Styela clava: one gene and its partners. The protein of the gene in region 3 interacts with the protein of the main gene of each other region in a pairwise test. Links are inferred from orthologs where the notes say so. Each region holds a gene or a part of one and is shown on either strand. Other genes may lie near its edges.

Region 1 (7,957 bases), on a different chromosome or scaffold from region 3:
AAACATCTTACCTGAAAAACAGACGTAGTGATCTCATTTGTCCCAGATCAACAGTAAAAACGCCGCAAGCTTGATCTCTGGCAGGTCGTCTTACTCGACCTTTGCTGTAAGGCAGTGGGCTTGATGGACAAGAACTTGAGGAAGAATTTGTAACATAACTGATTGAATTTTCAGGAAATTGCATGTTATATATAACAGGTGGGGAAATCGGATGATCCTAAAATAAAGTTCATTCATTAGAAGATTGTGTCATTATGTGTTTATTATCTTCTATTCAACACAAATAGAAAATTCTTACCTCATCTTTAGGCAAAGGCAATTCATCTTTAGCATTGATCTGTTTTTCAATGTCCTCTTTTTTGTCATCATTAAAAATTTGGATGTTTTCATACATAAATTTGGAGACTTTCTTGTTTTGTATCTCATGGAGTTCTGTACTCGAAAGATTTATAAGTGGAGGCCTTGTGAGTAAAACAATGTCATCCGGATCTATATCATCAATTTCATCATCAGAAAGATTCGAGTCTGGACCTTCTGTTGAACCTTTCGAAAGCAAAAATAAATATTTGGTCTGGAATATTTTAAGGTTCCCAAACTATCAAACTCATAGTATATTCACTTTTGTTTTTTTTGCAATAAAACATGTGACACATTAGATACAAAATTTGATTTTGACATTTACTGTAATTGCAAGGAAATATTTCGTAATATATGCATATTTCAATGCAATATGTGAGCTTGTTTTTGTGCACATGAAGCTATCATAAAAGGGGTGAAACTTCAAAAACTTCTCTCTAGACATCGATTTTAACAGAATTAACTGTAATCTTATTATAAAATTAGAACTTGGTTTGATATCTTGTCATGCGCTACTGTGTCTTGATGTACAGTTTAGGGAATATTGGGCTAATGTCACAGCAAAGAACGAAATAGTCCAATGTCTTACATTCTCAATAGAAATTAGATAAGCCAATAGGGTTTCACTGTAACAAAAAACTGACGTTAACCATAACAAAATGAGAAAAACTAGCAAAAAAAATATTTTCAGCCTACCTGTTGATATGTAAAATTATATACTTGCAAGTGATGCATACAAACTACATATACCAATTAATACCGCCCAATATAAAAAAAACAAATATATATTACCACTGCAAATGCTGACATCAGATAAATCTGCACTCCCATTACTGTATTTCCTTACATTTCCATGTGGTTGTGGATTAGACAAACTGAAGTTAGTTTCAATACTAGCAATATTATGGCCATCTTCATTTACATGATTTCCAATGTGATTTATATTCTGGAACAAAATAGAGCAATTTAAAATTAGAAACAAAATAGTAATATGAAATTTTTCAAAAGGATAATTTTTGGAAATATGATGAAACTAAAAGTTATTTATATAATTCAAAAGTCCGCTCAAGTGTATTTCAGTTAGTGTGCATCATGATGCTCAAATCATATAAAATATTTATCTTTATTCTATCTATAGCATTCTACACATATGAGTCTACCGTCCTGTGTTTGGGCATAAAAAAGGAAGGACATGTAGTTAGGCTCGTGTAACCCCCCAGCTTACCGGAATAAAAGTGTTAAATACCTATTAAGCTAAATTACTTAATGTTCTTAAAAATATAAAAAAACGGCATAACAAAGGTTTACTACTAGAAAGTATTTTTCAAAATGATGATTAATGAATACTCATCAAAATAAAAAAAGAAAATCTACTTAAACAATTTGCCTTTTTATAGAAAAAATAATAATGTGAGTTTGGTGGAATATTATCCCACAATCAATAAAGTATTCAACAAGAAATCTTTTATGCCAAGCATTTTAAATATTGACATCAGTCACACAAATTATCCCAGCGGCTACCGCCTTATAAAATAACACAATAAAAATAATATCAGTCATCATACGTTTCCAGAATCCGCAGTAATTAGTAACTCAGGATTTATATCATTGATGCATGTTAAACTTTCACAATGAATCGGGATAACTGCTGCATCTTGAACTGGGTTTCCACCATGTTTCAATCGTTTATTTGGTATCCAATTTAGCACAAGAGAAATCGCGTCGCCAGAAACTTTCGCAAACACTGTTAGATAACCTTAAAAATGGAAAGTAATAAGTTAAAATTGTGAGTAAAATGGCCTACAATTACTGAATTACCAGTAGCTGCTTGTACACAGCCTTGTTTAGAGCGAATAAGCTGGGTTTGGTTTAATTTTTAGTTTCAAATTAAATTGGTAATTGCCAAATATGAAAGTTTGGGGTCTTATGTAGTTTTGTACCTTAAGTACTTCTAGTGGGCGTAGTATAACGATTTTTGCACATGTGAATCCTCTCCCCCACCTGACTATGCCACCCAAAAATTACGTCAACCACATCATAAGGCTTGCCAAAGTATAGGTACAATCGCCCGAAATTATATCTTAGCCAACGATAATGAACTCAGTAACCCCAGCGATCTCCCTCATATCGGGATCGTTACGAGAGTATGAGAGAAATAGATTACTCCATTTCGGGTGATTGTCTGTGCGTCCTGAATGACAGTTACTCTGTATGTTACTGTGACGTCGAAGTGACTTAATTTTTGAATGATGTAGTCAGGTGGGGGTAGGAATAACATATGCAAGAGCTGAAAAGTAGTTGTGCCACGCCAACTAGAAGTGCGGTACTCGTGTGGTGAACATGGCCCTAAATAACAGTGCATACCTGGATAATGTTCTACAGAGCTTGCTAGTAGACCTTGAGGATGAACACATACATTGTTTTTGCTGTAAACAATTTCTCCATCAAGAGGTGGTGGATGATGATGTGTAGGTGATGGTTGGAATATCGTTTTGATGAACTTTGTTAATGACATGATATGTTTATCACTGCGCCACACAGCCACAATACATACAAAAATTGTCACAGTAAAATATAATTTCCAAAAGTTAGATCACCATGCTTTCATTACAGGACCATCAGATAAGTTACTAATAGCTGGATAGAGTTAAAGTCTAAATAGAAAAATAACCTAAATATGGCTTGACAATTGAAAAATTAAACTCATAGAATACAGAGAACTGCAGCAACAGACAGTGCAATTCGACATACCGGTACTGAATGTCATCATAGATCATCTATCCATCGCTATATAACAGTATAATGGCAATACATCCCTTGCATGTAATAAATAGTTCAGCGCGTTCCCCTTCACCCAATCATTGAAACACCAAAGTTACCCCAGCCCACACTCGCTCAGCCTGACGTCAAGGGGTTAACCAACTATTTTACCACTTTATAAACGTTAATACATAAAAACTTGGTGGCTATGACAATATAGAGACCATATTGGATATACACAGCGCAAATGCAATACCAAGCACGGACCAGTTACCCCTAGTATGGCCTGTCAAAAACGAGTGTGGGCTAGCGTTTCACGAGTGTGGGCTAGCGTCACATGAGTGTGGGCTGGCATCCTACGAGTGTGGGCTAGCGTCACACGAGTGTGGGCTGGCGTTCTGACAGTGTTATACGGTAAGTTAAGGCATCCTAAACGCTCACAGATTACTAAATTACATATATCCACGTTTACCTCAGCACCAGAACCTCTCAGAGTCCGGCAATTGATAGCACAAAATGGCCACAAATGCCGGGAAAATGATTCAAAATCAACTGAACAATAATATCTCTAACCAGTGTTACCAGATATGACGGTAAACAAGCCTGGAATTGACCGTCGAAACTCAAAAATAAGAAAATTGATATCTAAGCTAAGTGTCTGTTCTTTTTATGAAGAAAAATGTAGTTATGAATAAACCATAATCGATTTGCACAAATACATCTTGTACAATAAAAAATAAACATGATGAAAACATTTCACCAGCAGATACACATTGTCTCGAAGGCTTTTGATGTCGAAATTTAATAAGTTCATTGAAAAGAAATCAACGAAATGTTTACCACGGAATTAAAGTATCATAGTATACAGTATATGATCTCACAAATTTCAAAAAATTTTACCGTAGAGAAAGACTTTAAAATTAAAGTCAAAATTAGCACACTCGACCGTTTTCAATATATCGCGGTAATGGTGTTCCACGTCAAATTTTTAATTGTAAATTGAAAATGATCCTATGGTTTGTTCCTCAAAAAATTGAATAGTCATATTACATATTATTTCATCTAAAAAATATTGAAAAATAAAAAAATTCTATCGCCGGGAAAGCCTTTTAAAAAAAAGTCAAAATTAGCACACTCAACCATTATCAATATTTCGCGGTAATAGTGTTCCACGTCAAATTTTAATTGTAAATTGAAAATGATCCTATGGTTTGTTCCTCAAAAAATTTAATAGTCATATTACATAGTCATTCATCTCAAAAATATCAGAAAATAAAAAAATTCTACCGTCAGGAAAGATTTCATTTACCGCGAATGTTGATAACGGTTGAGTGTGCTAATTTTGACTTTAATTTTAAAATCTTTCCCGACGGTAGAATTTTTTTATTTTCTGATATTTTTGAGATGAATTACAATGTAATATGACTATTCAATTTTTTGAGGAACAAACCATAGGATCATTTCCAATTTATAATTGAAATTTGACGTAGAACACCATTACCGTGAAATATTGATAACGGTCGAGTGTGCTAATTTTGACTTTAATTTTAAAGTCTTTCCCGACTGTAAAATTTTTTTATTTTTTGATATATTTTAGATGAAATACTATGTAATATGACTCTCAAATTTTTTGAGGAACAAACCATAGGATCAATTTACAATCAAAATTTGACGTGGAACACTATTACCGCGAAATATTGATAATGGTTGAGTGTGCTAATTTTGACTTTAATTTTAAAGGTTTTCCCGACGGTAAAATTTTTTTATTTTTCAACATTTTTTAGATGAAATACTATGTAATATGACTATTCAATTTTTTGAGGAACAAACCATAGGATCATTTTCAATTCACAATTAAAATTTGACGTAGAACACCATTACCGTGAAATATTGATAACGGTCGAGTGTGCTAATTTTGACTTTAATTTTGAAGTCTTTCCCGACGGTAAAACTTTTTTATTTTTCAATATATTTTAGATGGAATACTATGTAATATGACTCTCAATTTTTTTGAGGAACAAACCATAGGATCAATTTACAATTAAAATTTAACGTGGAACACTATTACCGCGAAATATTGATAATGGTTGAGCGTGCTAATTTTGACTTTAATTTGAAAGGCTTTCCCGACGGTAGAATTTTTTTTCTTTTTCAATATTTTTTAGATGAAATACTATGTAATATGACTATTAAATTTTTTGAGGAACAAACCATAGGATCATTTTTAATTCACAATTAAAATTTAACGTAGAACACCATTACCGTGAAATATTGATAACGGTCGAGTGTGATAATTTTGACTTTAATTTTAAAGTCTTTCCCGACGGTGAAATTTTTTTATTTTTCAATATATTTTAAATGAAATACTATGTAATATGACTATCAAATTTTTTGAGGAACAAACCATAGGATCATTTTCAATTTACAATTAAAATTTGACGTGGAACACCTTTACCGCGAATGTTGATAACGGTTGAGTGTGCTAATTTTGACTTTAATTTTAAATTCTTTCCTGACGGTAGAATTTTTTTATTTTCTGATATTTTTGAGATGAATTACAATGTAATATGACTATTCAATTTTTTGAGGAACAAACCATAGGATCATTTCCAATTTACAATTGAAATTTGACGTAGAACACCATTACCGTGAAATATTGATAACGGTCGCGTGTGCTAATTTTGACTTTAATTTTAAAGTCTTTCCCGACGGTAAAATTTTTTTATTTTTTAATATATTTTAGATGAAATACTATGTAATGAGACTATTCAATTTTTTAAGGAACAAACCATAGGATCATTTTCAATTTACAATTGAAATTTGACGTTGAACACCATTACCGCGAAATATTGATAACGGTCGAGTGTGCTAATTTTGATTTTAAATTTGAAGTCTTTCTCTACGGTAAAATTTTTTGAAATTTGTAAGATCATATACTGTATATTATGATAATTTAATTCCGTGGTAAACATTTCGTTGATTTCTTTTCGATGAACTGTTGAATTTCGACATCAAAAGCCTTCGAGACAATGTGTATCTGCTGGTGAAATGTTTTCATCATGTTTATTTTTTATTATACAAGATGTATTTGTGCAAATCAATTATGGTTTATTCATAACTACATTTTTTTTTCATAAAAAGAACAGACACTTAGCTTAAATTTCAATTTTCTTATTTTTGAGTTTCGACGGTCAATTTCAGGCTTGTTTACCGTCATATCTGGTAACACTGGTTAGAGATATTATTGTTCAGTTGATTTTGAATCATTTTCCCGGCATTTGTGGCCATTTTGTGCTATCAATTGCCGGACTCTGAGAGGTTCTGGTGCTGAGGTAAACGTGGATATATGTAATTTAGTAATCTGTGAGCGTTTAGGATGCCTTAACTTACCGTATAACACTGTCAGAACGCCAGCCCACACTCGTGTGACGCTAGCCCACACTCGTAGGATGCCAGCCCACACTCGTGTGACGCTAGCCCACACTCGTAGGATGCCAGCCCACACTCGTGTGACGCTAGCCCACACTCGTGAGACGCTAGCCCACACTCGTTTTTGACAGGCCATACTAGGGGTAACTGGTCCGTGCTTGGTATTGCATTTGCGCTGTGTATATCCAATATGGTCTCTATATTGTCATAGCCACCAAGTTTTTATGTATTAACGTTTATAAAATGGTAAAATAGTTGGTTAACCCCTTGATGTCAGGCTGAGTGTGGGCTGAGCGAGTGTGGGCTGGGGTAACTTTGGTATTGAAACATCTACTCACAGTTTTATTTTTTGTTTTTCAGGTTACTTCAAAGTGATTAAATGAAGTAAAACACATAAGGAAAAGATCAAACAAAGACTCCGATATCCTGTGAAATAACAATCTAACTTTAATTACTTATTACAATCTGGACTATAATTTGGCAATAATAGGCTCTAATTTTGGGAATGAAATGGTCTCGCCCACCTCTTCATGCACCCAATTCTGGCAACTTTGGTTGGGCAACTTGGCATTTGATTGACTCCAACTATAATCAGTTTGGCAATATGTTTCCAACAGAATCTTACTTTTATATTTTGATTAACGATTAGAAGATCGATCAATTTGGCAATGGCAACAATTACAAAATTATCAATATGGTGTGGCAAATAGTTTTATTTTCTTTTCTAGTATTTATTTATTTATTTTTGTTTACTCTATAGTATGCCCTAAATTTATCGCGTTTTATTCTTACTTAAATAACTTCTCAGTGGTTGTGTGTGTGTGTGTGTGTGTGTGGCTGGGGGGTGCATGTGAGCGTGTGTGAAATAACTCAATAATTTTAGGTGAGTAAACACGTACCACTTCCTCCTGGCAAAACCTTCCATCTTATATTTTGTACGTTATAAACCTTAAATAAGGTTTTGTTTGCTCCCCTGATTTCATAATCAGTTTTTATTTATTTGTTTTTATCTGTCAAATGTATTGTTATGCTGATTATGGAGTCGAAACAAACTTATACTTATTATGTTATTCATATTAACAAGCTGACAAGGCCTGCCCCTTCTGGGGCAACCCTAAAATGCGGGAAACGGGAACGGCGGGAACTACGGGAAATGCACTAAAATGCGGAAACTGCGGGAACGACGGGAAATTGCAAAAACTAAAATGCGGGAACTAAGGGAATGACGGGAACTACGGGAAATTTCACTAAAAAGCGCGAAATTTCACAAAAAGCGGGAATGACGGGAAATCGCTTTAAGGTACGGGAAATATTCATTTTGGGGTATGTTTAGGGGAAATTGTTCTAGAAAGCGAAAGCAATGGTTAATATACGCTTGGGGGTGTATGTACGTGTAAATTTATCTAAAATG
Region 2 (7,220 bases), on a different chromosome or scaffold from region 3:
AAAGTCAACACCATTAGTAGTACTGCAAAATTTGCATTCGCAGTATTACAACGAGTTAGAGTAACAATCCACCCACTCTTAATACATTGATCTCACCTGTAGGAAATAATTCATATGGAACAGAATTTGCTTTCACTGTAACCATGAAATATTCTCTTCTGAAACCAAGACAAACTGAATCACGACACCAAGCCATACATTTTGGTATCTCAGGCATGCTGATATCTGGCTGTAAAAATGGAATAAATAGTTACCGGTAGATATCACTAGTGTATATATATATATATTCTCTACAAATAACTATAAAGAATTTAAATATTGTTATTTAGAAAGCTAAAGAAGACCACATGGTCCAAACAAAAATACCTTACCATTTAAATACCACAACCTTGATGAAATTATTGGAAGCCTACCACTAGTTCAGAGATATAAATTTCCCGTGTTTTTAGGCGTATTAAACAAATATTTGTGAAAGCCATACTCACACATAGCTCATGAAAACTCCGATTTTTCCAAAAATAAAGTAGTAGTTTTCTTTTGACCGCAATGCATAATCTTAAAGTGTGAGCAGTTTCACCTTGTGAGGATGTTCGTGACTGTATATAAAAATTGACTGATAAATTTTAAGTTTGTATTTCAAGATCATGTTGTTTCTATGTTTGCACATTGTTACAGAGCTAACAGCTAATCAGTATTCAGTGGATAATGGTCAAAACTTGTTAAAGGATGCAATTAAATTACCGTAACTGAATTCTGATTGTAGATATTATGGCTTTATAATTAAAGTAATAATTTACAAAAATATGAATAAATCCATCATTAGCCACATATCAACATCATTTGGAAATATTCAAATTAAATAACCATCATAATTTGTTATGTTAAAATGATTTGATGAGTTATCTTTATTTATCTTATTTACTTCACAGAAGTTAATAATCAAAAATACCTCAAGATCAGCAGAAAAACAAGCTGCTCCTTTAGATTTTTGTAAGGTAGTTATCAACTGGAATGTTGTCAAATCATGAACAGAAACCATGGAATCTGACAAACTTAATATTAATTTAAGTTCAACACAGACAAATAATTGTTGAATTGGTTTCTTTGAAAATGTTCTATTTGATCGTTCCAACTTTACTTCAGCTCTGTTATGTACATTTGGATTATGTTCAACCTGTAACAAAAAATTTAAAAATACTAGGTAGGCTTATCAGATTTAGATAGTTAATTGAGGAGTGTATATCAGAGAATGGGCTTTCCCAATTATCAAACAGCCAATATTGCAAAAGTAGCTTATAAGCAAAGCTCTACTTTGCAAACCGAACTGGCCATTTCCCTATTGCATTAAATTCAGGAAAAAATAAAAGAATCATCACTCAAAACAGAACTGGGCAAGGCGGGTTAACGATATTCACTACTAAAGATAACAGAAATGAAATTGTACATTTCTCATCTAATCTAAAAACAACAAATTCAAACATCACTTAATTTGAGAGAGAAACCACAAAATAATAATTTTTCAGCAGAATAATGTCAAAATCCCATATGTTTGCTAGATGAATATATTATTCTCACACTATAAACAAGCAAATGTCCTGGCTTTGTTCCAACCAACAAAGTTGCTTTAGGGAGATCTGGTGCTGAGTTATCATTTTCTGACACATCTCCATCATTTATAGAAAATCTGTTCTGTTTGAATAGCTTCTCTTCTCCTACATAAGACAAATAGCAGAACTCATTAAATCAGTGAGCTGATGCAATTTATGTCACTCGTGGAAGCCAAATCTAATTTTACTATCCTGATTACACTATGAAATAATATTTTTGATTATTGAATATATTCTAAATATGAAATACGGCCATACGTAACAGAGACATTTGAATAAATTTTGTATGTTCATAGCATTGAGTTTGATAAATGCAGAATATTTGGCATATATATTGTTTTGACATCTTTCTATTTATACCGATAGTCAATGTTCCCTCTAATTTTTGTAGTATGTGTGCGCCGAAATTTTGGTGTGTGCGCACTTTTCTGGAAATGACTAATATTTGTGCAAAAACCAATGAAGAAATTTTGGCGTTCTAACCGGGTAATAGGTGGGCTTATTAAGAAAATTCTGGTTATTCAATAAGTTTTTCTGTAGATTGGAAATGCTTTAGTGAAGGCTATATGTTATCAGTAGATAACAATGAACATACATGGAAAATAATAAATGAAATTGATTGTAACAGATGGTTTTATTTGAATTCAAATAAAGGGTGAAAAAAGAACAAAAGAACATTGTTACATTACATCGAAATACGTCTGTGCGCAGTAAATCTATGCGTGTGCACAGCCTCTGAAAGCTGTGTGCGCGCGCATACGCGCACACCTTAGAGGGAACACTGCCGATAGTGTCAAGAGTTAAATAAGCTTGTTTTCAGCTGGCCCAGTGACCAGATGTCAAATGCTGAAAATAGTCAATGCATTTCGAACAACTTACTGATTAGATATCTACATATCCAACCAGACCTGATGAAGCCATCCTTCATCATTAAACAGTCTTAAATGTTATTTCAGTATTTTGCAATAATTTCTGAATTTGTTGATCAGTTACATGTACCATTCACACCTTATAATTATGATTGATAATTTATATTGGGCTTCGCTAGATACAAAAAAAAAATCAACACACCATCACACAGAAATCCCGGGATGTTACCAAAAATAATATTTCAACTCACCCCAACAAGCGATACATTCAATAGCCAATGGTAGACTCTTCAGGACCGGTAAATAAATGTATGCATCATGCATTTTGTTCCGACGGTAATTCTCTAGGAGGCGGTCTTTGTCCACGGAAATATTGACAAAAGTTAGCAAGTAAAAGTCCGCCTGTCACAGTGCTAGATTACACTACCTACTGACCTATCTCTCAAAGTGACTCACTTTGCTATCTTCGACTTCTATACAGCTATACACCGGCCACCGCTGCAGGCATTCATTAATACCCAGCAAATAATCGAGCCGCTGGCGGCGTCAGCGGCAGTGTTTCTTTGCAGGTTGAATATAATCATGGTTAACTGACCATGATATAATGGACCTTTCCCCGACCTTTGACCCCCGAAAAATTCTTCACATATTTTACCATTGCAAAATTTTCGGGGCTATTTTAGGAGTGCTTTTGCAAGTTGGCGCCTGTAAAATGGGGTATGTGTTTCAAAACATCATTATGATTCATCGCATACAACAATCTGTTTTTTAAAAGTACCGGTAAAGAATTTCAGGCTAGTCTATGTATGTATGTATGTATGTATGTTTATTCCTCTCGTAAAAGCAATATAAAAGAGTAAGTAATTATAAATACTGAAGACGGGATGTATGCACAAGACCATATTGGCCTGAAACACAAATGTGCGGCATACACCCCTTTTGATATATATAAATTATAATAGGGTAAATCAAATATGTACAATATGGTCCTTTATACAGGCAGTTGTGCAAGGAGGGTGGGTGGATGCGCTAACAGGGATAAGGGTGGAGTGTACAAAACTGTTTGTACAAAGGAGTTTGTTAGACAAAACAACTTCTATAAATAGAGACACTACACAACATGAAACACTGCATATGACTATAGTAATAAAAAAAAATTAAGAATTTGGATGAATGTACAACACCATTGAGTGATGATACCACATACTATAAAACGCGGGAATGGTCAAGTTTAAAGGGTGTGTACATATATGGTATGCACCACTCAAGGGCGACAGTGTTATAAGTGGTCTATGGCTGTTCTGGCCAAAATGTGGAGTGGAAGTGGTGACTCCTCTTCGGCCCATGGGCCGGGGCCACGGCCCATCAAATTGGGCCTCGGCCCATCAGGCTATGGGCCGCGGCCCATCAAGTTGTGTAAAGAAACTATTCACTTGGCTAAGACAAACAGTCCCCAAACTCATAATAGAACTATAATGTAAAAAATCTGAACAAAATTTTGCCCTAACCCTAACCTGGTACACATACTACAGGAGTTCATTTTTTGGTTCGAATATTGACAATTTTGTAAAAATTGAAAATTTCGGTAAGATAATTGAATTTTTTCCTGATGGGGCCGCGGCCCATAGCTTGATGGGCCACGGCCCATGTGGCCCAATTAGATGGGCCGTGGCCGCGGCCCATGGGTCGTAGAGAAGTCACCACCCCTGTAGAAAATGTGACCCTACAGGTTTTGGTGAAATATGATAAAGATATGTATCAAATGACTCACTATTGTAAGTTTTTTTTTTGGAATTCTGGATTCAGCCAAAAACGATGAAGTTTCAAAAAATAAAAAAAATTAATAAAAAGCATTTCCACAAAACCTATTATGGTTGCATTTCAGCCAGAAGATTAGAAAGGTATAAAGGTACAGTGGGATAGGTAATGATAAGGTACAAAGAGAAGCCATTTTACCATGTCATGGATTTTCCAATGTAAATTAAAATAATAAAATTATATGGTATCCTGGGATGAGCAGAAGAAAAAGTGTGATTATGTCGTTGATCTTGTATTCAAACGTAAGGCGCACTGGACTGCAAGACGCATCGGTATTACAAAAATGTACGGATTACCGTACAAAGCTCAACAACCAACAGCGTCGCAATCCACACACGGCAATCAAAATTGCAAGACCCTCGATTGTCTATGTCTTTTGAAGCTTATCATACCTCAAGTCATCGTTAATGCTTATTGGCAAGCGTTCCGCAAGTCTAGGGATCAAGTAATAAACAAAATAATTTAAGTTTAATAATAAATAATCGCCAATTGTGGTAGATTCGAAATAATGTGGTGTAAAAATATATCACACAAAGATTTTCATTCTTCGACTGACAAAACCCTCAATAACGATTGTGTTTTCTTTTCTCGCTTGCGATCAAAATGACGAGAAGTGTGTATAATTATATTAATAGCGCAATATCCATGAACGATAGGGTTAGCACCCGTTTCTTTTTGGTCAAGAATTATTTTCGCACACCTTCAACTTACAGTATATTGAGACCTACCTCATTATTTTCCCATATTCCCAATAAAAGGACAAATCGATTTTTCAAAATGGAAGATCTCATAGAAAAATGATGCTATTCTACAAAGATTTCAATGTAACGTGAAGGATTTCATAATTAACAATTTAGAATATTCGAATTCTTATAATATCCACAGTCGCAATATAGTAGTTTACAGTCTTGACATCAAGAAAACGTATATTTCCTTTTCCTCAAATGTGAGGATTTTCTGTGAAAAACGGCATGGTTTGCTTTGGTTTTTATAGTCTTGGCTGGTAATATATCATTGTTTTTTTGGCTATTCTTTAAAGGACAGTCTCTGCGTTTGTGAGTCAACTTCCCACATAGATGACAACCTAGCAGATATCCAGTTTTCCTGCATTCATGGCCATCCAGTTCACAACGTTCACAATTTTTGCAGTGTTTCCGACCTAAAAATACAAGTTAACAAATAAGAAAGGGCAGAAATTCATGCAATGAGTTCCCTCCCTAGTATAATGATGATAATGATACTTGCCTGGTTTTACACAGAAATTACATTCATTGCAGTGAACATAAGTTCTCCCATCCTAAAAATATAAAACAAGATCATTAATACTATCAAGTATAGTATGCAGACATGCAGTATATTATGATCAGTTGAATAGAAAAGGCAATACCTTTGATGGGCAGTTATTGCATATTTTGCAATGTTTATTTGATTCAGCAACATATCGATCACATCGAGAACAGAACCTAAAATAAATGATCAATTCTGTAAAGCTTGCTGCAAATAAGGTCACAAAAGTAAAATGTAAAGCGATAATTCCATCCAGATGCTAATTTACAAAACTAGACAATTGTTCTAAGTGCATGATAAGATCACTAAGGAACATCATAATAGGTTGGTATCACAAAAAATGTTTTTAACCTGTATCCTTCATCAACTGGAAACACTATGTCATTCGTTTTAATGTTGGTAAAAATTCTTACAGGTGATATTCTAGTGCTTGTGATTTTCTTCTTAAACTTATTGTGATTATTGTAGTTCACCTGCAAAGATTTTTTTGTAATTTAATAGACTTAAGTATGTACTGAAGTTTCCGTTTATCTAACTAACAAAGCGTAGCATAGCTGACCATACCTGGTAATCAAGCATATGTAGTGATGGCAATGCTCCAGTTATTCTTTTTTCCATGAAATATGGAAATATCCACAATATTGGCAGCAAATTTTCAGTTTTAGAGGACTTTGAATTTTCAGGAAAACTACATGAACTTATCCACTTCAAAGCTGAAACACAACACAATAATAAATTCAAATCCACAAAAGGTCTTCAGAATTTTGCAAGTTCAATAAGTAACCTAAAGAAGTAATCTAGTAACCTACCACAAACAATTTGTGAGAAAACATTTATCTACACTGCTTAAATACATAAAAATATTTGCAACCTACTATTTGCAATGGCATCAACCAGTCCACCAAAGGGAGGATCCAATACCAAACATATCCTTGAATGTGATTCTGATTTCTCTACAAAATTACGCAGTTTATCAAAACTTTCATCAATGAAATAGTGATTGAACATATTAAAGTGACAAAACTTATCCTGGTCGGAGAATTGTTCCTGAAAATGTTAACTTATATTTAAAAGATGTTTGAAAAATGTAGTTATGAAATGCAATAAAAACTTACATATCTTTTGTCAATGTCTAACAAAATACTGTCAATTATTGTTGTTACATCTTCAGAGTTTTTATGATAAAAATACTTTCTGTATTGAATTTCCTCATGAAGTGAAGGCATTCCAATACATACGATATGTGTGAATTTCAGTTGTAACAAAATATCTAAAATGAAGTTCAAGCTTCGGTCATTCAGGAAATATTGCTGTTAAAAAAATTTGGATTTACTGTAAGCACTCAACTTACCAGTCAGTGAAGCAATAAAATGTTGTTGTATTGTAATTTTATATGATAAAAACCAGGAAATGGAAAATGTTTTGTGTCAGAGTTACTATAACCATGTTTTTGGACAAAGTCCTGTCAAAGATGTATTCATAGCGTTTTAAGGAAGTCTCCATTGTTTCAAAAATATGGAAAACAAATTTCATTATTAAGTATTATTTGATTTAAACCTCATTTACAACCCTATTCAGAGAAATAAAATGTCATACCGCATTCTTCTTATCTTCTTGTAATGGTGGCAGTATTTCTCTT
Region 3 (7,342 bases):
TATATACCATTCAAAAAATTAAGTTATATCCAAAAAACAAAGTTATTTTTTGCCAATTTTAAAATGTAAGGATCAGGAAAATATCACCATATTAAGCTATTTATTTTATAGAGCCCCTGCAATATATGAAAAATTCGTCACCCAAGATTTATTCTTAATGAACGCCGAAACATTTTCTGAACACAACAGCACTTATTTCAGTCATCCCTGGATATTAAAGAACAAAATTTCCAACGATCAAAAAAAATTAGTATAACAAAAACTGATAAAGATGGATAAAGTCTAGCATAAATCAGACGTACCAAGGGATATTTATACAGTAGACAACATATAGGCATAAATGAAGAAATGGTTTACATAGGATGGCCCACTAGAGAGACTATAGGCTTTATACTTAAAAACAGTATAGTAACTTATCTCACAAACTAAATTTGAAATTTCTGAATTTCTACATTGTTATTCATATTTTCAAATTTTCCTCGAAACTAGGCTAGTTGGGCTGTGATTATAAATGTCAATATAAAAGTAGAATTTCAATTTCAAACTTGATTTTGAATTTTCCAAATTTCATGTTTTTATTCATTTCTCTAACATTTGGCTTTAAAGTAAGCCCTGTAGAAGTCGCTTAGGCAGCCATTGAAAATGTCAATGCATAAATAAAATTCTAATTTTTCAAAATAAATTTCAAAAAATTTGAATTTTTGACCAATCTACTTTGAACAGGGTCCTGTATAAGTCCTGCACCCCAGCTCGGCACATATTAGTGACAGCTGACAGTGTTTACAACATTATTACATCACATAGAAAGAAAGTAGTCAGTTTTATTTATAGCATTAAAAAGGAAAGTACGGCAGAAAGTCAACATTTTTATATGGATAATATTATATATCCTACATACAGCAAAGTTTTTCTCTCAGGTCACATTTTCAAATTCTCAAGATCGAACAAAAAAAATTCAACCAATTAAATTAAGCAGAACTGGCATCTTTATTTTAGGATTTAAAACTCATAAGAAAAACAGCGCTACCATGACTAAGTATTGATCTGAAAATATAACTAAATGCAGAAATGTAATTAAATCTCTAAATTAAGCGAAATACCAATATTTCAAACTGAAATCAGTGCTACCACGAAAACAGATAGGACTGCAAATTGTAAGAAAAGTTTTCCACATTTTAACAGACATATAGACTTATACAAGGAAACTTTAATAGTGCAAGAAACAAATATATACAAAGGCCAGTGGACACGTACTTAAAACCGTTTTGCAAACCACACAGAGTTTCTCAGATGAATAATGAAACATGCCACCAACTCAGTCAAAAAATCTTGCTAGATTTACCTATTTATTGTTTATAATTGGTTAATAATTCTTATTCGTGACATTAACTGGAGCGAAGGGTGTAATTCGCTATATAATTAAGCAGTCTTTCCTGATAAATATAAAAAATTTGAATATATTGGAATCAGTCGAGTCAAATAAATGAAAGAACTGTGGAATTTTTTTTGATTATCGGGAGCCTTTAAACCAGGACAAAGTTTTAGACTTCTAAAGTAAAAGTATGAATTGTCAATTGTGCAGCAAGATTCTTGAATGTCTTAGAATAGCGATCTTTGATTGTTACAGCCTCCTTGCATTACAAATCCACCAGTGCAAAAGCATAAGTTGGTCCCACAGACACATACTTTTTATAAATGTCATAATTTTTTTATTTCAAACATGGATGAATAAAACCCAACACAGAACAGACAATTATAAGAAACTCTGGTGGTAGCACAGTAAGCAGGGTTGGCTTAAACATCATTATTAAAGCCTTTTTATACATTAAAAATGCTATTGCAAAAGAAATCCCGCTAATTTTGTCAGTAAGTCTTTATTTTAACCACTTTAATATGAGAGGAAATCTTAACAGCATCCCCCACCGTCGCTCTGTTGCCGGGGACGATTCCCTGAAAGGCCTGATGATGAAGGGGAGTGTTGGGGGCCAATTTTAATCCCGTTTGCTTCATTGTTGATGTCAAAAACCCCTTCCTGAATTTTTTCGTAAATCTCTTTGGCTGTATCAATGAATGCATCTTCTACGTTTGCCGCTGTCTTTGCAGATGTCTCCATGAATACGAGACCATGCTCCCGTGCAAACGCTTCTCCTAAAAATAAAAAAATTATTCAATAAAAGTCCTACTAAAAATATGTATATGTAACTAATTATGCACATTATATGCCATGTAAGTTTGTGTAAAAAAATACATTTTATAAACATAACTTGCAGAGTTACAAAAGCAAAACAATAAGCCAATAATTTAATCGCAATCTTAACAAATTCCTTGAGCTATTTTTTAGCTGATATATCTAAGTTTGGCTGTGGAAGCATCAGGCGGGCCAGATTGAATTATCCAATGGGCCCGATTTGGCCCATGGGCTGCAGTTTGCCCATGCCAGGTTCAGAAAGACAGTGTGTGTAAGGTGGTTGGCATTAGATTTGGTGGCTTAAAACTAGAAAAAACGACATTCGAATTAGCAAGCGTCGCATAGAAAAATTTAAAAAACAGATATTGATCCTTATACCTTCTTCCTTTTTGACTTCACGCCGAGCTTCTAGATCGCTTTTATTTCCAATTAACATGATAACCATATTAGATGAGGAATGTTGTCGAGCGTCCTCTAGCCACGTCGTCAGATGGTTGAAAGTATCACGTCTTGTGATGTCATAAACGAGTAGAGCGCCTGCGGCTCCACGATAATATGACCTTGTGATTGAACGAAATGACTCTTGGCCTGCTGTATCCCAGATTTGTAGTTTTATCTGTTTTCCGTCAATTGTGATCATCCGAGCGCCGAATTCGACACCGATCGTTAAATCGTGGACAGGTTGAAATCTTTTGTCGGTAAATTGTAACAGAAGACACGACTTTCCGACGCCGGTATCTCCGATGATAATATATTTGAACAAATATGCGTACGACATTTTGCAAAATTCAAAAAATACGACAATTCTAATGAGGATACGTAAATCACCAAGATTATTTAAACTAAATTTGAAGTCTGGAAAAATTTTTATAATAAGCTTTTTATCATAACAAAAAGAGATCAAGTTTCAGATTTTACCTATGAGTGCGATACTATTTCTGCGGATAGATTAAACTTGACTTCTACCAGTCTACTGTGTTAGAAACTCAAAATCTCACTGAATAAACATGTGTCTGGAAACATTTAGTGTATGTATAGCCTACCACACATAAGATTATTTACACTCCAAAACTGCATAAGTTGCAAAACATCTGGTGAAACTGTAAAATGAATATCAAAACTGATTACATACCTACTGGCATAGTATTATTAGGACTTTAAGAGATACACAATCTGACAATTCAGCAATTTAAATTAAAAGTTGTTACCAGAAGAAACAGTGTGTGTTGACTCGCCTTAAAGCAGAGCAGCAGAGTGTAGCAACTGCCAGACTTCTGATACAGTTGGCCTGTGACCGCACGAGCCAATTTACAAATTCGGAAACTAGCGTTTCTCCCGCATTTTCCTTAACAGGCTAGACTATATCTTATGCAATTAACGACTCTTTGAATACAAAACCTGATGCCACCACATTAAATTAACACTGCGTGACTCACAAATCATTTTTAAAAAGTGTGTTTCCCATGGGCAGACTGGTTACACAACAGCTTGCCTGTTTCCGGTCATTAATGCTCGCAGACATGCGCGCAACGGGGTCCTATTGATGAGATAATTACAATACATAAGCCGTCCTATATTAACAGAATATTTGAACAACGCTAACAGCTTTTTATCTCTCATTAAAATGGGATTAAAATTGTTTATTTGAGCGAAAATCGATTGGTATAAGCAAGGCAATCCATCAACCAGACCTTCGCAGTTCACAAAGCAACATACGTTGTGGTGGTGTAAGGAGCGTGATCGAAAACTGACAATGCTGTGCTGGGTTACTCATTTATTCAAGACATTTAAAACGACATATAATATGAGATAGAATTTTCTTATTTCCAAAAGGTAAGCCGATATTAAAGTTCAAATAACCTGTGGCCTCTAACCCGGTTAGCGGTACCAGTCTATAGCTTTCTACATCCATGCAATAGATGACTCCAACCACTAATAACTACGACGTTGCGTGCGTCATGCACCAAGAATTACGTGACGTGACAATCGTATTGACGACGTTAAAATACCGTTGCCAAATAGTATTGCTTTGAAGCATGTGTGATTAGGAAAAACAAGCTGGTCTCGCTTACACTAGAAATTTCAATTGTTACTTCAAACCACAGCGCCAACAGAAGATTCGAGAGATTCTTTCGCGACCCCTCATCAACTGCTAGGAGTCGAAATGTTTTTCGTTTTTTTTTTATTAGGATAGGAACATTTACATATTTATCCCGGGGGAGAGAAAAGCCGACAAGACGGCTTATCCATATGGCGAACCACGGCCTCTCGTCCGGTTACCATTCCAAGTCGGGTATGGGATTAGTTTTACTGTATTTTTCTTTTTCTTTTCGGAAGCATGGACTTGGTGGTGGAGGAAGCCGTAACCGACCAGCGGTTACGTGAACCACCCAACGACGGCGAGGAATCCAGCAATCCTCTCGCACATAACCATCCCTGCATGGGATTCGAACCTGCGAACCCACGCAGAGTAGTTAGAGGTGCGGTGGCGAGCGTATTCCTAACGCTTAGCCCGTTGAGCCACACCGCCGCGCCGTATTACATGTGTATTGTCGTGAAAAAATATCTGAATCTGATATGACCACGGTTTAACTATGCAAATTAAAATGCTCTTCCCAAGTTTAGTTTGTGATATGGATAATAACTGAAAATTCTGATTTTGTGATACAAAATAAATTTGTCTTTACTTTTTTTAGGTAACTTAACTTCACGAGCCGTGCCACTGCGGCCGCATTGGTTGCAGTGGCACAAGGCCGGCTCTTCTACGATTTTTGCAAAAGATAAATGCGCTTCGACACGGAATGGAGTCAAATACGGGATATAATTTACATATTAATCCATGGGGGTAGGAAAGCCGCCAAGACGACCCAATCATATGGCGAACCAAAGCCTGCCTCTCGTCCAATTGCCAGTTCATGTCAGGCATGGGATTAGTTCGCCAGTCATTTGTTTTCAGATGGGAGAACCCGTGACCGGCCAGCGATTACGGGAAGCACCCTACGGCGGCGAGGAGTCGAGGAATTCTTTTTCACATCCAGGAGTTCTTTCTCTCATCCCTACATGGGATTCGAACCTGCAAACCCACGCAGGGTAATCATAGGTGCGGTGGCGAGCGTATTCCTTACCCTTAGCTCGATGCGCCACACTTCCTGAGCCCACCTCAGAGTCAACGACTCGAAGTTGTTGTAACTAAGCCGTTTGGTCGCCCCACGTGATTATTGTGATCTGACTTTGCCCGATTTGGCTCGTCCAAATCTCTGCTCTCTAAGTCTCTAAAAACAGTGGTTTATCCTGCGACCTATTTCTCAAATATTGTAGTAGACGCCCATTCATAAAAGTACAAGATTAAAAAAATAAATATATATTTGGTAACTAAAACATGGAAACGTATTGCCAGTAATATAATAATGATATGCATAAAATCTTATTGGATTCTCTTCAAATGAATAGTATGGGCTCAGTGTTGAGTTATTACATATATATATTGAAATATAATATCAGTAGCTAATGGTCAGCGGATCAGTTTCTTAAATTTCTCGCATTTTTGCACTTCTAGCTTATTAGCAATTAAAACGAACTCTAGCATAAGTTTATAAATAAAAAAGGCAAAAAAATTGTAAAATAGGAATTATCAGAATAAAGCTGGTCGTTGATAAACGAGTTGCTTGACCAGTTGTTGCAGTTGTCGACGACACTGTGACTAAATACAAAAGTCTTGTGATTAAACGCTGGATTTAGGAGTGTGAAACGCTGTTTGAGTGACATCTTGTGTCCCATCACTAATTAATTAATAACTCCCTAATTATACGACATTATTCGCGCCAAATCAATAGGCTGATAAGATAAATGCACATGCAAAATCCGGAGCAGATTCAATCTCTTATTCGTGAGATATCGCGTGCATCTAACAGACAAACAGACAAATACCTATCAACCTACTTACCGATTAAAATCTATAAGTAATAACACTGGAATGATGAATAGGGGGATCTATAAGCCACGCGCCCTAGAATGTTAGAAACCACTGGTGTAGAAGTCGCAGATTCAAAATCTCAGATTCAAATCCCATGTCCACCATGTCACCCGGAGTATAATAAAGTTGGTGAGCGATCCCAAACCAAAAAGATTAGAATTGAAACCAATACTAGGATAAGATTAACGTACTACCCCGGAGAGAACAAGAACGATGAGACAGATGGCTTAATCCCATGGCAAACCACGGCCTCTCGTCCGGTTACCAGTCCATGTCGTGTATGGGATTAGTTAGCCAGGTATTTGTTTTCGGAAGCATGGACTTGATTCCGGTTCTTTTTTAAATAGTAAGTCCTAGTGTCAGTGGTACTTGTAACTCGAAGTGAAAGGCAAAAAAAACTTCGTGTAAAATACTGCTTAGCGATTCGCCTGGTTTTCCGGAAAGCTGTTTAGTGTTTAGTTCACCCATTGACGTTTATTTTAGTATTTACGTCCAATATAACTCTGGGTTTGAATCTATTCGTAGATGTCAGTTTTCTACAAAGCCCACACTGATATTACGACGTCTAACACATGGTATTTCCAACCTAATAATGAGTTTGAAGACTATTTGTAGTATCCACTTTGCAAAGGCCTAAAAATTACGTTTAACGCTTTTAACAATGTATAACCATGAATGTCAGACAAATCCATCAATTTTTATTACATTGCAACGGCATTCAGACAAAGTCAAACTGGCGTATTACGACAGTTTGTGAGGTTACTTATCCACGTCTTACTTCCCCAATTGACGTCTTTCCGGAAAACCTCAGTGTGATGATATTTTACAAAATGCCAATCCGGAAGAATCCCGGTTTTACTAAAATATGGTAACTCTTAAACATATCAGCGTTGTTTGTACAGTGCCTTGTTCCAAGTGGAGAGAGTGAAAAGCCCTCCCCCCTCAAAGAAAAAAAAAAATTAAATCGCCAATCCTTCCTACCTTTTCTTCCATGAGGGGATATATGCTTTATCTTCGGTGAAGACGTTGGGTAAATTCTTCCTTCTGTAGTACGAGCGATATATCTTGGAGTACGAGTGCTTCGCCACCATTCCCACCAGTTTCCACTTGGAGTCGCTATATTGCTAGCAGTCGTCGATTTTGTTGAAGCTAGAATTGAATAGGATTTACAAATATATCTC

The links.
Region 1: the proteins of ras-related protein Rab-2A (region 3) and TBC1 domain family member 16-like interact in a two-hybrid assay, tested with the Drosophila melanogaster proteins (2 studies listed by BioGRID). The link is inferred for Styela clava from reciprocal best matches to the Drosophila melanogaster genes Rab2 and TBC1D16.
Region 2: the proteins of ras-related protein Rab-2A (region 3) and vam6/Vps39-like protein interact in a two-hybrid assay, tested with the Drosophila melanogaster proteins (2 studies listed by BioGRID). The link is inferred for Styela clava from reciprocal best matches to the Drosophila melanogaster genes Rab2 and Vps39.

What each region holds. Positions count from the first base shown.
Region 1 is NC_135259.1:9,676,512-9,684,468, reverse strand, and holds the start of TBC1 domain family member 16-like, read right to left. Parts: upstream 3,033-7,957; 5' UTR 2,873-3,032; coding exon 2,722-2,872; intron 2,114-2,721; coding exon 1,923-2,113; intron 1,304-1,922; coding exon 1,150-1,303; intron 544-1,149; coding exon 299-543; intron 218-298; coding exon 12-217; intron 1-11.
Region 2 is NC_135253.1:11,146,318-11,153,537, forward strand, and holds the start of vam6/Vps39-like protein, read right to left. Parts: upstream 3,040-7,220; 5' UTR 2,801-3,039; coding exon 2,728-2,800; intron 1,713-2,727; coding exon 1,576-1,712; intron 1,175-1,575; coding exon 950-1,174; intron 597-949; coding exon 486-596; intron 230-485; coding exon 97-229; intron 1-96. Other genes in the region: rRNA N(6)-adenosine-methyltransferase ZCCHC4-like, read right to left, coding at 5,209-5,453, 5,540-5,591, 5,682-5,757, 5,933-6,054, 6,146-6,294, 6,457-6,628, 6,697-6,891, 7,178-7,220. UniProt on the Drosophila melanogaster protein: Part of the homotypic fusion and vacuole protein sorting (HOPS) tethering complex involved in endo-lysosomal vesicle trafficking and lysosome biogenesis.
Region 3 is NC_135257.1:22,261,167-22,268,508, reverse strand, and holds the start of ras-related protein Rab-2A, read right to left. Parts: upstream 3,073-7,342; 5' UTR 2,967-3,072; coding exon 2,567-2,966; intron 2,149-2,566; coding exon 1,907-2,148; 3' UTR 1-1,906. Other genes in the region: uncharacterized protein LOC120346693, read right to left, coding at 5,779-5,888, 7,143-7,310. UniProt on the Drosophila melanogaster protein: May be involved in bidirectional endoplasmic reticulum (ER) to Golgi trafficking. Together with Rab7 involved in promoting fusion of autophagosomes and endosomes with lysosomes, probably through recruitment of the HOPS tethering complex.